Arabidopsis thaliana: one gene and its partner. The protein of the gene in region 1 purifies or fractionates together with the protein of each later gene. This does not show direct contact. Each region holds a gene or a part of one and is shown on either strand. Other genes may lie near its edges.

Region 1 (7,781 bases):
CTCTTATAGAAAACGTCACACTATCATTTGGGTTGTTAACATGGATCACAAGTTGCAGCATTATGATACTTTATAGTAGCGTTTTACCAATTTTAGAGGCGGCTTCACACCAGAGTAAATGACTTCTGACACAAAAAGCATGGTCACATCACATCATTGACCTAACTGACCACAACTCGTGCACATGAAGATGGGGTCATGCGCCGACATTCATTGTCGTGAACTAACATTCTCCGAAATATAAAAGAAAAATATCGTTGTTTAATGGGCAAACCAGAGTTGTAAAAGTCATCACCTCACTTTCTCTCCAAGTCATCACCTCACTTTCTTTCCATGCATTGGAGTGCACGATATTGTTCTGAACCACTATTTGGTAAAAAATGTTTAACGTTGGGTAAGGACTTGGGCGCAAAAGTGTATCAACGGTTTCTTTGGTGGAAAATTGTTTTAACTAGTGGTCTGCTTTTGACTGTGGCACTGACAATTGATTTGTTTTAAGAGGTATGTTATATACAATAACCGTAAACAGAGGTACATGAATGCTATTCTACAAAATCTAAAGTGAATAGTTACGTATATAATCATTAATCAGATACAATATCTTTCGGAATAACCGGATTGCCATGCAAGCTTGAAAAATGCTGTTTCTATGGTTTATGAAATTCTGATGAGCAATAAGAGAAAGTATCCTAAGTCGTGCGTTCTTTTAAGGATGTTAAGTTTTTGATCGTACACGTTAAGCATCAAAACACTCGATCGAAGTACATAGTCACTCGACGTTGATTTTCGGATACGAAAAGGCTGCCGACTATTCTTAAATCATTTTATGTGCATATAATTTAGAGAAAAAAAGCTCCTCTGATATTATGCTCCCAATTCTGATTTTATGGGGTTTGGATTATTAGTACCCATTTTTAGATAATTTATGAGTGCCGATAAAGTATACTCTGATCAGGGACAGTGAAAAAAAGAAGAACAAGGGTGAAAAATGCTCAAATGGTTCACGTTTGGTCGAAGGAGAGAAACTTGGGCTTGGTCATCACATCTGGGGCTCGGAACTTGTCTGGAAAAGTATTTCAGAGATGTTTTAATCAGAACCATGACCAAAGATTGAGAATGTGAGAGTCGTTACACGGCCATACCTCGAGATATCGTTTCAAAAGTGTGGTGGTACTGTAATTGAATCCCTCGGGAGCGGTTCCTTGAGTGCGTGATGAATGAAGCTGTTTCCTGACCTGAGTAGCCAGAACTTTTCCTAGCTCAACGCCCCACTGGTCAAACGAATTGATACCCCACACAAAGCCTTGAACTGCTACTCTGTGTTCATAGATAGCCAACAACTGAAAAATAAAACATATGCAAAAATGTCAGCTTTTGTCGCAGTGATCCTCTCATCTCAATCTTAAGATGGTAGTGATAACCCTGAGATAGAGACAGACCTGGCCAACATTGTAAGCAGTCAATTCTGGAAGTAGAAGGCTAAGAGAAGGTCGATTTCCAGAGAATGTCTGTGGAAAGATACCAACAGGTTTACTCCAACACATTTATATACTGAAAAACATAGAAGTTTTGTTTTTTCAACATCGATCCAAGACAAGTTTTTACCTTATGGGGAATGAGATTTTCTGAAACATTCTCTTTCTGCAGCTGTTCAGGAGTCTACAGAAGGTAAAAGAACAAAGAGTTTGTTTCAGCATGGAACCTTAGTAAATGCATCAGTCTCTTTACTGCCATGACCAAATGTAATGTCTTACTTTTCCATATGCAAGAGCATCAGGCTGTGCAAAAAAGTTTGACATGAGCTCGTCGTGGTTACTGACCACCTCTCCTGTTAATCCAATGCAGAACTTATCTTATTTTCGAAAGAGAATGCATAAAACAGCTCAAGTCAAATTAACAGTAGCAGGAATGGAAGCCTACCCTTAAGGTACACAGGTTGCTGACTCTTCACAATGCCAATGAAATCACAAGGGATTACGCGTCCCTAAAACATCATTTCAAAAGATTTAGTGCTTTCCTCATTAGCTTATCATGTGATGAGAACTTGCTAAAATCTAGATCCAAATTTCCAGTAAACTCAAATTATAGGTAGCAAGTACCTGGTGAATGAGTTGGTAAAAGCTGTGTTGACCATTTGTTCCAGGTTCACCAAAATCAATCTCACCAGTCTCGAACGGGAGAGGTAGACCATCAATTGAGACTCCCTTTCCATTACTCTCCATACTAACCTGAGATCAACCAATTGCTCCGTTAATATTCCCGTAAACAATTTTAAGACTTTTATGTCAAAAATAGATATGAAGAAGCAAAGATTAAGGAGACAAAAGGGAAACCCAGTTCACATACCTGTTGAATGTGTGGAGCAAATTTCTCAAGGGCTTGCGAATAAGGTAAGATGGCCTGAGAAAACAAAAAAGATGTTGATGGAGGCTGAATATCTTAAACTGAGATGAAAACTTCAGCTTTCTGATAAAGGAGTCGATTCTTACCCTAGCAGGATATCCAAGAAATGATACATTCCATACACTCAACAACCCTAAAAGCACCTGAAATCGTCAAAAGTCACCAAATCAACCTCTCACTCCGGCGTGACTACACTAATTAAACTAACTTACAGAAATCCCTATGGAGAGTTAATGTAAATGCTTGCTATCCTGAGTATAAGCAACTTCTTGGAAGAGTAATTCTTTGTTAAATGATGACTTCAGGTTACTCTTAGTGATTATCAAAATAAAGCACTCACAGGTATATTCTTCTCGAACGGTGTGGACTGGAAATGCTGATCAATGCTTGAAGCTCCCTTCAAAAACCTACCATCCAAAAAAAGACTGAATATCGACTGCACTATTGTGGATTTAGAAACATAGGGAAGGGTAATAAATAAAAGGGAAGTACAAGAAAAAAGAAGAAATCATTCAGATAAAGAAAAAAAAAAAAAAAAACAGAATTTACATCAATTTCTTTCCTGACATTTTATAGTTAGAACGAGTACATCTGTAAACTTATGCAGATAAATATCTCAAGACAGACATGCATTACTTCCTATTCCTAAGAAATTCTCTGAGAAGGGTAATAAATAGAAGCTACCGTACTTCTCAACCATGGAGAAGCCATACTGCAGAGACAAAGGTAAGACTCCAACCGCACTGCAAACTGCAACAAAAAATTCGGATAAAGATTAAGTGGATATGGGTGAGAAATGAATCCAACCAAAGAGACAAGAACTTACCACTGTACCTTCCACCAACCCAGTCCCAAAATGCAAATGCATTGTTCGGGTCAATACCAAACTTCTCTACTAACTGTTAAACAAAACATCCATAGTTTATACACTTTCCTGTACTGTCTGAATATGAAATATGTAGAAGGAGGTCGAAATAAATCATAATTCCTAGAACATCGAGACTACCATAGTCCATTAAATCTGTTCGATAATTCAGTTTCTAAAAAGACTGGATCAACATGTCATCTGTTCTACATAATCAGAACGACTCGAGTGCATGTGTTTCGAAGTTTAAGTTTACTAAGATGGACAATAAGGAAACAAAGTCCCCAAAAGAAACTCTAGCAAATGCATACCGCAAGATTAGTGCTGACAGCAACCATATGTTTTGCAACAGCTGAAGCCCTGTTAAGTTATCACATGTTAAATGAGTGATGTTCATCCACGATAACCAAAATATGGTAGAATAACACAAATTATATTTTGAAAAAAATAATAATTGTAAATGTACAAGCATAAAAGCTTTCCTCTGGCGATAATTGTAATTTTCTAACAAAGTAAGATTAAGATGCCAGAAATACCAACCCAAGAGCAGCTGTTATCCATTCCCTCAATGTTCTGGCGTTAAGCATTGTTTCAGCTGTTGTAAACGTTTTCGAGACCACCACAACTGGATTACAAGTATCCTCAGAATTAGTCAGAGTGAAAATCCGTCAATGGAAACTATGAAAGTGAATTTGTTGATAGGTTTGAGCATGAACCTAGAGTAGTTTCTGGATTTAGTCCACTGATATTTCTAGCAACATCAACAGGATCAATATTTGCAAGACTGCACAAAAAGAAACAAAAATTAATTCCAAGCAAGGCATCCACATGAATGAAATCCAAAAGGAATAACTAGAAGCTAACAAGTTCAATACAGCCTCCTCTTCCTAGGTTAAATGAAATTTAGACAAACAAGGAGTATGCAGTGTCTATGACAATAATGGTAAAGAAAGAATTCATGGACCTTCAGGAGAAACTTCAAGAAGCTCATTCATTCTACCAAAGCATTGCGAACAGAAACACAGAAAAAGACTACATAACTACAGGAATGCTGTGCTTACAATCGCAGCTGGCGTCCTTTAGCAGACTCTAGAGCTTCAGGATCTGGGAATGAAAATGCATATAAAAGCAAAAATTTGAATCAAAACAAGCTAGAAAGAACACCAGCAAGAGGCAAGGTACCAAGACTAGATGCAGCCCACCTGTTTGGAGAGCCGTGTGGACAAACAGTGGACCTAAGAAGCTACCACCAATACCAATCGCAATGACATCTTTCAGCGGTTTGCCAGTGGCTCCAACCTGTCAATTAGTTCAAAAAAACTCAACACAAGGAGATGAAAACGTAAAGAGGTAGGTTTTATAATGGCATCTAGAATTTACCCATGAACCAGAGCGAATTTTGTCAGAAAATTCCTTGATCTTATCTAGAACGTTCCACACTTCTGGAACCACATTCATTCCATCAGCCTTGATAACTGCATCCTTTGGAGCACGGAGCGCAACATGAAGAACTGATCTGTTCTCTGTACTGTTAATCTGAGGAAGCCATTTAAACAAATCAGACACCATAGATGATAGAAAATGTTTCTGTCTCAGTACCGAAGAAGATGGAGAATAATTCGCTTACAATTCATTTGCATTCTCTATTCTCTAATATGTAATACTAGATAAAGAGTTTCATAAGATCAAATCAAAGTAAGATTAACATGCGGATACTTACATGCTCCCCATTGAACATGCGGCTGATCTTCTCTGTCAATTGAGAAGCCTGCATATAGAAACAAATTATCAAAATTCGAGTGAAATTCGTTGCAATTCTATTAAAATCTGTCAATAAACATCTACCCTCACCTTTGCCAAGTTCAAAAGCTTGTCCATTGTCTCAACAGTTGCACGCTGTCGAGAATAATCCAACAGCAACCCATCAAACTCCCTAATTAAAACATACCAATAACATTAACAAGTTCAATACCAGAGCAATAGAAACTCGTAAATGCACAATAACTAGAAACAAACACAAAATCAACCGAGTTCAACAACAAACATAATGTACATAGCACATATGAGCCAAAGTAGAAAAGAAGACATACATCATCATGGACTGGCATCTATTAGCATCACTCATCAAATCACGCAAATGAGTCTTCTTAATATCTTCTACATGTCCCTGCCAAATTACCAAAACAATCCCAAATCACTTCTCTACACAAACCACCATTGACAAACTAAGAAAAGAGAAAATCCTTAAAGACTACTTTACCTTCAAATCCTTCCACGCTTCGGTATCACAAATCAAAGCGGTTGATGACGCCATTACTAGTAATCAATCATCAACAACAACGAAAAAGTCAAATAATAATAAAAATTCAGATTCAAAACAATTTGATTTTGAAACGCGAGAGTCGTCGTTCATCGCGATTTAACGGAACAAAACTTGAATTGGTATCACAGTTTTGATTAATCAAGAGAAGGAAACAAAAACAAAAACAAAAACAAAAACCTGAAGGTCTTCGAAGATGAGGTGAAGAAGAAGATTCCGGAATTGTGAGAAGAAGAAAGCTAGAAGAGAGAAAGTTTCCGATAGGGAAGAAGCGTGTGAGAGCTGAGGGTATGACACGTGTTGACGGAAGGTTCTGCTCTGCAACACGCGCGATAGAACGGAATAAGTTGGTAGAGAATGTTAAAACGGTGGCGTTTTAGTTGGATTAAGGAAATTGGTTTATTCATTTTCTATACACTGGAATACAAATCAAAAACAAAAGGCAAAGTCAATATTTTTTGAGAATTTTATAACTTGCCCAATACGATTCTCAGACCATCTTAGAACACTGATTTCACTCGCCATATACGGCGGATAATATTTTATTATATATAGGCTTTGATTGTTTACTAGTTTTTGTAATGGTTTTTGGTTTTTGTTTTTGAAAAACTTATTTTTTACCCATTCAAGATTTTGTGAATATGGTTCTTTTTAAAATCAAGGAATCTAGTTTTTGGAATATTTTTAACAATTTTTATTGACAATTTAAATTCTAATCTATTTGAAAACTCACAACCATTCTGAAATTAAGAGCAAGACGGCTATTTTAGGTAATGTTTTGAGTGAACTTTACTTTCTTATTATTTCACTTAAGTTTTATGTTACATCACAAGTTTCCTTTTATAGTTAAACAACGCTAGAGTTTCAATTATTGTAAACTGACAGATGTCTCAATCTTGTTATGCTTAGCAGATCATCAAACAATCAAATCTGTTCTCCGTGTTGATTGGAGGCGTACGACAGACGCTCCTCTTCTCTGTCGTTACTCTGGCTTTGTTCTCTTGCATAGGTGGTTTTGACCGTTGAGAAGATGAAGAAGATTTGTTGGGCTTCTCAGTTAAGTTGACATTGGGCTTGTTAGGTGAGTGGCCCAATATCCCTTTTCCTTTGTTTACTGCAGCGACGTCGTTCTGACTCGTTGACCCTTCATCTGCATTTGAGTTTTTCTCCGATCTTGTGTCAGATTCTGGAGCTGATGACGGAGCCGTGGAGCTCTTGCTAATACATTCATGGCTAGGCACAGTTTACTGAGTCCGCCTTATGACAGTCCTCTTTCATTGTACATATTCTCTTTTTGATGATAAATAAATTTAACATTTTATAATAATAAACAAACAAAAATAGCATAATATAAGGTAACAAAAAAAAGTGAATGATATTCTTTTGTATTAAAATTAGAATATAAGAGCAAGACCATTGGTAAGTCCTTATAAAGGAATCCTTACATTTGTATAATAATAAATTTTGAAAATTTTAAAGTTTAGAGTTTTTGTAGAGTCTTTACATTTTTTACTGTCCAGTGGTAGAATCCTTAAGTGAATTTTTTTTATAAAAAAAACCAGTCATTTTGGATGAAGAACTTGCCATTTTGGATGAACTAGTATTTTGATGAAATTAAATAGGTTTTAGCTTTGTATTGGAGTTTGTGTACTTTACTTGTTCGGTTTCTTCATTCTATTTATTTGAGGTGTGTGTGATTATTTCTACTTTTGGGTTTGTTGACATATGTCATAACTCAGTGGCTTCTCTTTTGGATGTTATGTGTTCGCATGCTTCAGAGAAGCCTTTTGGTACGTCAAAATCAAATGCTGCATGGTCATGTAACAAGGAGTAAGTATATTATAGAAGGATCTCATACAGCAAAACCATTAACATCATTACATTAATATCTAAAGCGTACAACAATCACTAATTTACTATGTACACACGCTTCTGTCATAAGAGTTTGGAATGTGACAGATACATAACCACAAACTAAATGAATAAGGAAAGAGTCTTTACAGATCCGAGTCTTGCCAGCTAGCCAAGCAGAGTTCATGTAATTCATTGAGTATCCATTCCTCACCATTGTGACCACCAAGGACCAATACTCTAGTTCCTCCAACAACGCATGTGCTATGTCCCCAAGCTAACTTGGGTGGTTTCCCTGGGACATTTAGGATCCTCCATGACGGTTTCTCTTTTGAAGGATCT
Region 2 (4,803 bases), on another chromosome or scaffold:
AACGAGAAATCGATTCCTTTCGACTTCAAATTCTCAGTTGCGGGTGCAATTCTTTCCAGAAGCTACACCGATTAAACAAAAAATATGTGAGACCTGATCTCTAAGCACAACAGATTAAAAGCATTGATAAAAGTATGAACAGTTCATGAAACCTTGGGGTGAAGAACGCCGTTGGAGACCAAAACAGACCTATCAAACACAGAAAACTTCCCTCCGTCCATCCGAGTCACAGCTCCTCCAGCTTCCTCAACTATCTGTGTCCATTTTCTGACATGGATTAAGCTCTACAACTTAAGTACTTTAGTAAGAAAAAAACAACAAGAAGGATGAAGAAGACTACAAGAACACCAGCAGCCATGTCCCATGGCTTTAAACGGTACTCCCAATATGATTCCGCAATCCCAAGTGCAACATGACACATGTCAACTGCAGCAGCACCGAGTCTTCGCACTCCCCGACTCACATCAGTAAACTCTTTGAACAGTTCCATGTTAGTGCTCCATGCATCATCATGTTCATAACCAAACCCTGTGATAAGAAGTGCTCTCTCCACCTTCATTCAAACCCGAATAAATATCTAATAAACCAAAACCATTGAACACACCATGTCGAAACTTAAAATTGGATTCTTGATAAGTTACTTACAGCATCGGTCTTACTGACATGAATTTTTTGCCCGTTACACAATGCTCCACCACCTAAGAAGTGAACTAGTTAGACAAAATTTAGATATATAGCCAAACATAAGCTTGTCACATAGTACCTGCAGTTGCAGAAAAGGTTCGAGTGTTCCAGCACATCGGACCACCGACAAACTCTACCTGCATGATGAGATTTTGTTGTTAATCCTACTGACCAAAGAATCAGCAAATAGGAACTAACAAGCATTAGCTGGTTTGTGCAAGTATATATTGGATTTACCACAGAAGCAGCGGCGGGATTTCCACGATACAGAACACCGACGGAAACAGCAAAACTGGGATATCCATGAGCAAAATTTGTAGTTCCATCTATGCATAAAGGAATTAAGAGACTAATACTAAAAATCTCAGAGATTCCACACAAACACATGAAAAGAAAGCAATGAGATTTGTAAAGAGAGCTAAACCTAGAGGATCAATGCACCAGAGGTAATCAGAAGACGAATCGCCGATGATACCTCCTTCTTCACCAAGAATAAGATGATCACTAAAATTCTTCTTCACTACTTCCAAAATAGCAGCCTCGCTTGCTTTATCAGTACTGCAAATTCATCAAAAGTACTAAAACTTTAATAGCTTCAACCAATCAAGTCAACATGAACATAGTTAAAACCTCAAGCTAACAATTTTAAAAGGTGAAGAAGTCCTTACTCAGTTACTAAGTCACTGAGACCTTTATAAGTAATATTCCTTGGCTTATTTACAGCTTCCATAACCACCTAACAAACCAGATGATTCAATTCAAGTTAGTTTTGTTATTATTCTCCTTGTGCAGTTGTGCCCTACGAACCCAAGAACTTGATTCTAGTACCATTGAACACAATTTCAAGTCTCATCAAGAGTTTTTGTTTCCAATAAACATAAATTCAGATATTGTATTCTACAGACATGAAATTTCGAACCTCAGCGCCGGTTTTAGCGGCGAGTTCAACGACTTCAAGGAGGTGTGCCGGAGATATAGTTCCGGTGGTTTTAGCGCCGATTCTGGGATATCGCGTCTGATCAGAAACCTCAGACAGAACAGCTTTGGTTTGAAGTCTCGTTGTGGACTTGAAGCTATTAGACAAAATCCTCGTACACCGATATCGGAAAGTTCTGTTCACTGTCCGGCCTGAAATTGGGTTTTGCAGCGGAAGAGATGATCTGGGTAAGTGAGAGATTCTCAATGACATGTTTCCAGAGAATATTAGAGACCTTCCCATTGTTGGTGTCGCCGGAGAATTTTCGAATTTTTGTTGTTGTTCGGTTTTTGGTTTATATGAACGCGGCCAAGTGAACGGATGGTGGACATGAGAGAGTCCAAAAAGCTGATAGAACTTAAAATTGAAATTAATGAGAACATTGAACCAAAATCAGGTTAACAAATAACCAGAGATAACCGGTCTCTGTAGTATACTCAAATGGTTAGTTTTTGCCGATGGTGGTGCCCTAAACTCGAAAAAAAGATGGCGGCGTTTTTGCAAACTAACATCCGTCTGGAGATCATACCGGGAAGATACAGTTCTCTCACCGATCATAAGTTTCGTGCGCCGTATCGAATTAGGTGCGCCGCCGCTTCACCGGTGAAAAAACGGTATAACATCACTCTGCTTCCCGGCGATGGTATCGGTCCAGAAGTTATATCTGTTGCTAAGAATGTGCTTCAGAAAGCTGGATTTCTCCAAGGACTAGAGTTTGATTTCCAGGAGATGCCTTTCGGCGGAGCAGCTTTGGATTTGGTCGGAGTTCCATTGCCGGAGGAAACTTCCACTGCTGCTAAACAGTCTGATGCCATTCTTCTTGGAGCTATCGGAGGGTATGTGTAATGCGTGTGTGTGTTGTTTCTTCAGCAAATTTATTCTCTTTATGATGATTTTTTGTTCAGGTACAAATGGGACAAGAATGAGAAACATCTGAGACCTGAGATGGGTCTGCTTAACATTCGAAGAGATCTCAATGTCTTTGCTAATTTGAGACCTGCTACAGTTTTACCACAGGTATTGATTTGCTTATCACTTTGCTTTCTAGTTGTAAATATACTCAAATTTTTCTGTTTTTGCTTGTTCAGCTAGTTGATGCTTCCACACTGAAGAAAGAAGTAGCACAAGGTGTTGATATGATGATTGTAAGGGAGCTCACTGGAGGTATTTACTTTGGAGAGCCAAGAGGCATTACGATCAACGAAAATGGCGAAGAAGTCGGTTTTAATACAGAGATCTACGCTGCTCACGAGGTACTACTTACTCTTCACAATCTGCTGCTCTGTGACAATGTATGTGTATTAATGCATTGCTTTATCTTCTTCAGATTGACAGAATTGCTCGTGTTGCATTCGAGACTGCTAGGAAAAGGCGTGGCAAGCTGTGTTCTGTTGACAAAGCCAATGTCTTGGATGTATGTTTTGAATTGTTTTTCCACTCCACTCTTGTGTGTTTTTCGTTATACAATTATTTTTTTGTTTTGTTTCGTATAGGCATCAATATTGTGGAGGAAAAGAGTAACAGCTTTAGCCTCTGAATATCCAGATGTTGAACTATCACATATGTATGTCGATAATGCTGCGATGCAGCTTGTCCGTGACCCGAAACAGGTGATCTTCGCGCATATATAAAGCTTAGCCGTTGATTAAGCTAACACAGAAGTGGAACTTGTAGTACTCACGGCATTTTTAAAAACATTATTGCAGTTTGACACAATCGTCACCAATAACATTTTTGGTGATATATTGTCTGATGAAGCTTCAATGATCACTGGTAGCATTGGGATGCTTCCATCTGCAAGTCTTGGTGAATCGGTAAGTAAGACTAAATCTAATATTTCAAGGTTCCTCTGTTTATTATTATCATATATTGATTGTTAAACTTGTGATGAAAACTAGGGACCTGGACTCTTTGAACCTATACATGGTTCAGCACCAGATATAGCTGGACAAGACAAGGCAAACCCATTGGCCACCATTCTCAGTGCGGCGATGCTTCTCAAGTATGGACTTGGAGAAGAAAAGGCTGCAAAGATGATTGAAGACGCGGTCGTGGATGCTCTGAACAAAGGTTTCAGAACCGGAGACATCTACTCCCCCGGAAATGTATGTGTATGATGATTTCTGTCTTTTGTTTTGTATAAGTTAATGACAATATACTTAAAGAAGTCTTTTTGTGTTTTGAAAATGCAGAAACTGGTGGGATGCAAGGAAATGGGTGAGGAGGTTCTCAAATCAGTGGACTCCAAAGTTCCTGTTTAAGAAAAGTGTGTAGCCCTTGGTTTTACTGTTACTTTTTTGCTAATACATGTATTAGAAACTGTATTCTTGTAGCTTTTATAATAATAAAATATTTGGGATCGATTCTGCAATTCAAAGACAAAATTCTCCAAGAACATTTGACAAGTCTCCTGCCTCAGTACCTTGTTCTTGAAGATTGAGAAGTTCTCGCCAACTACAAAACTCAACATCTTCTTCAATCAATATTTGTTAAACGAATAAAGTTTCAAGAGAGACAAGAAACTATGTTTTTTAGCCGCTAGAGTATTACATTTTTCTACTGAAAAACCAAACTTATAAAACATAACATTTATAAATCCGAAAACAACTATCAATCATCAGGTTAGCCTTTGGATTCACGACGACTTATCAGATTTGCGTTCAGCGTCTGCGGCAGACTGCATTTGAGCTGCATATGGTAAGTTCCAGAGAACATCTTTAAAGGAAGTCTTGCAGAAGGTTCAAGCAAAACACATTTATTGGCGATTGAGATGGCAATTGGGTAAAGACTCCTGCGAGCTTGTTGTTAGGACCGTTGGACTTCCTATTTTCTGTCGACAGTCTTGGCTCCCAAATGACGTCTGCAAATACAACATTGCAGCAACAGCTATTAACAATGATGAAGATTTGCTTCTTTTCTTTACCCTATATGATACCATTTCGTTGAGAAGATAGGCCTCTCCTTTTTGTAGTAGGTACTGGTCCTATCAGAGATTCCAGAAGTATGAATCCAAAGTTGTACACATCGCCCTCTGTTTTAGCCATTTTCCTGCATAATTCCAAAGCTAAGAAACGTGATGAATCGAAATCGTCTGTGGCTTCCTTTAACTCTTCAAAAGAAAATGACCGGAATGAGGGCACACC

The links. Proteins that work in one complex are often made in the same cells at the same time.
Region 2: the proteins of AT5G42740 (region 1) and IMD3 fractionate together in Arabidopsis thaliana (co-fractionation; one large-scale study listed by BioGRID). This does not show direct contact.

The regions. Positions count from the first base shown.
Region 1 is NC_003076.8:17,133,881-17,141,661, reverse strand, and holds AT5G42740 (Sugar isomerase (SIS) family protein), read right to left. Parts: upstream 6,002-7,781; 5' UTR 5,769-6,001; exon of another isoform or gene 5,585-5,768; 5' UTR 5,583-5,584; coding exon 5,529-5,582; intron 5,513-5,528; exon of another isoform or gene 5,436-5,512; coding exon 5,359-5,435; intron 5,202-5,358; coding exon 5,120-5,201; intron 5,037-5,119; coding exon 4,989-5,036; intron 4,805-4,988; coding exon 4,649-4,804; intron 4,568-4,648; coding exon 4,471-4,567; intron 4,373-4,470; coding exon 4,330-4,372; intron 4,053-4,329; coding exon 3,985-4,052; intron 3,894-3,984; coding exon 3,809-3,893; intron 3,629-3,808; coding exon 3,580-3,628; intron 3,303-3,579; coding exon 3,230-3,302; intron 3,154-3,229; coding exon 3,093-3,153; intron 2,811-3,092; coding exon 2,744-2,810; intron 2,547-2,743; coding exon 2,490-2,546; intron 2,401-2,489; coding exon 2,347-2,400; intron 2,229-2,346; coding exon 2,100-2,228; intron 1,985-2,099; coding exon 1,921-1,984; intron 1,829-1,920; coding exon 1,755-1,828; and 10 more.
Region 2 is NC_003070.9:11,141,961-11,146,763, reverse strand, and holds IMD3 (isopropylmalate dehydrogenase 3), read left to right. Parts: upstream 1-2,046; 5' UTR 2,047-2,101; coding exon 2,102-2,496; intron 2,497-2,565; coding exon 2,566-2,677; intron 2,678-2,748; coding exon 2,749-2,913; intron 2,914-2,987; coding exon 2,988-3,074; intron 3,075-3,153; coding exon 3,154-3,270; intron 3,271-3,366; coding exon 3,367-3,474; intron 3,475-3,558; coding exon 3,559-3,765; intron 3,766-3,852; coding exon 3,853-3,921; 3' UTR 3,922-4,303; downstream 4,304-4,803. Other genes in the region: IMPL1 (myo-inositol monophosphatase like 1), read right to left, coding at 1-62, 153-254, 341-553, 646-698, 764-821, 922-1,010, 1,109-1,242, 1,353-1,420 and 1 more.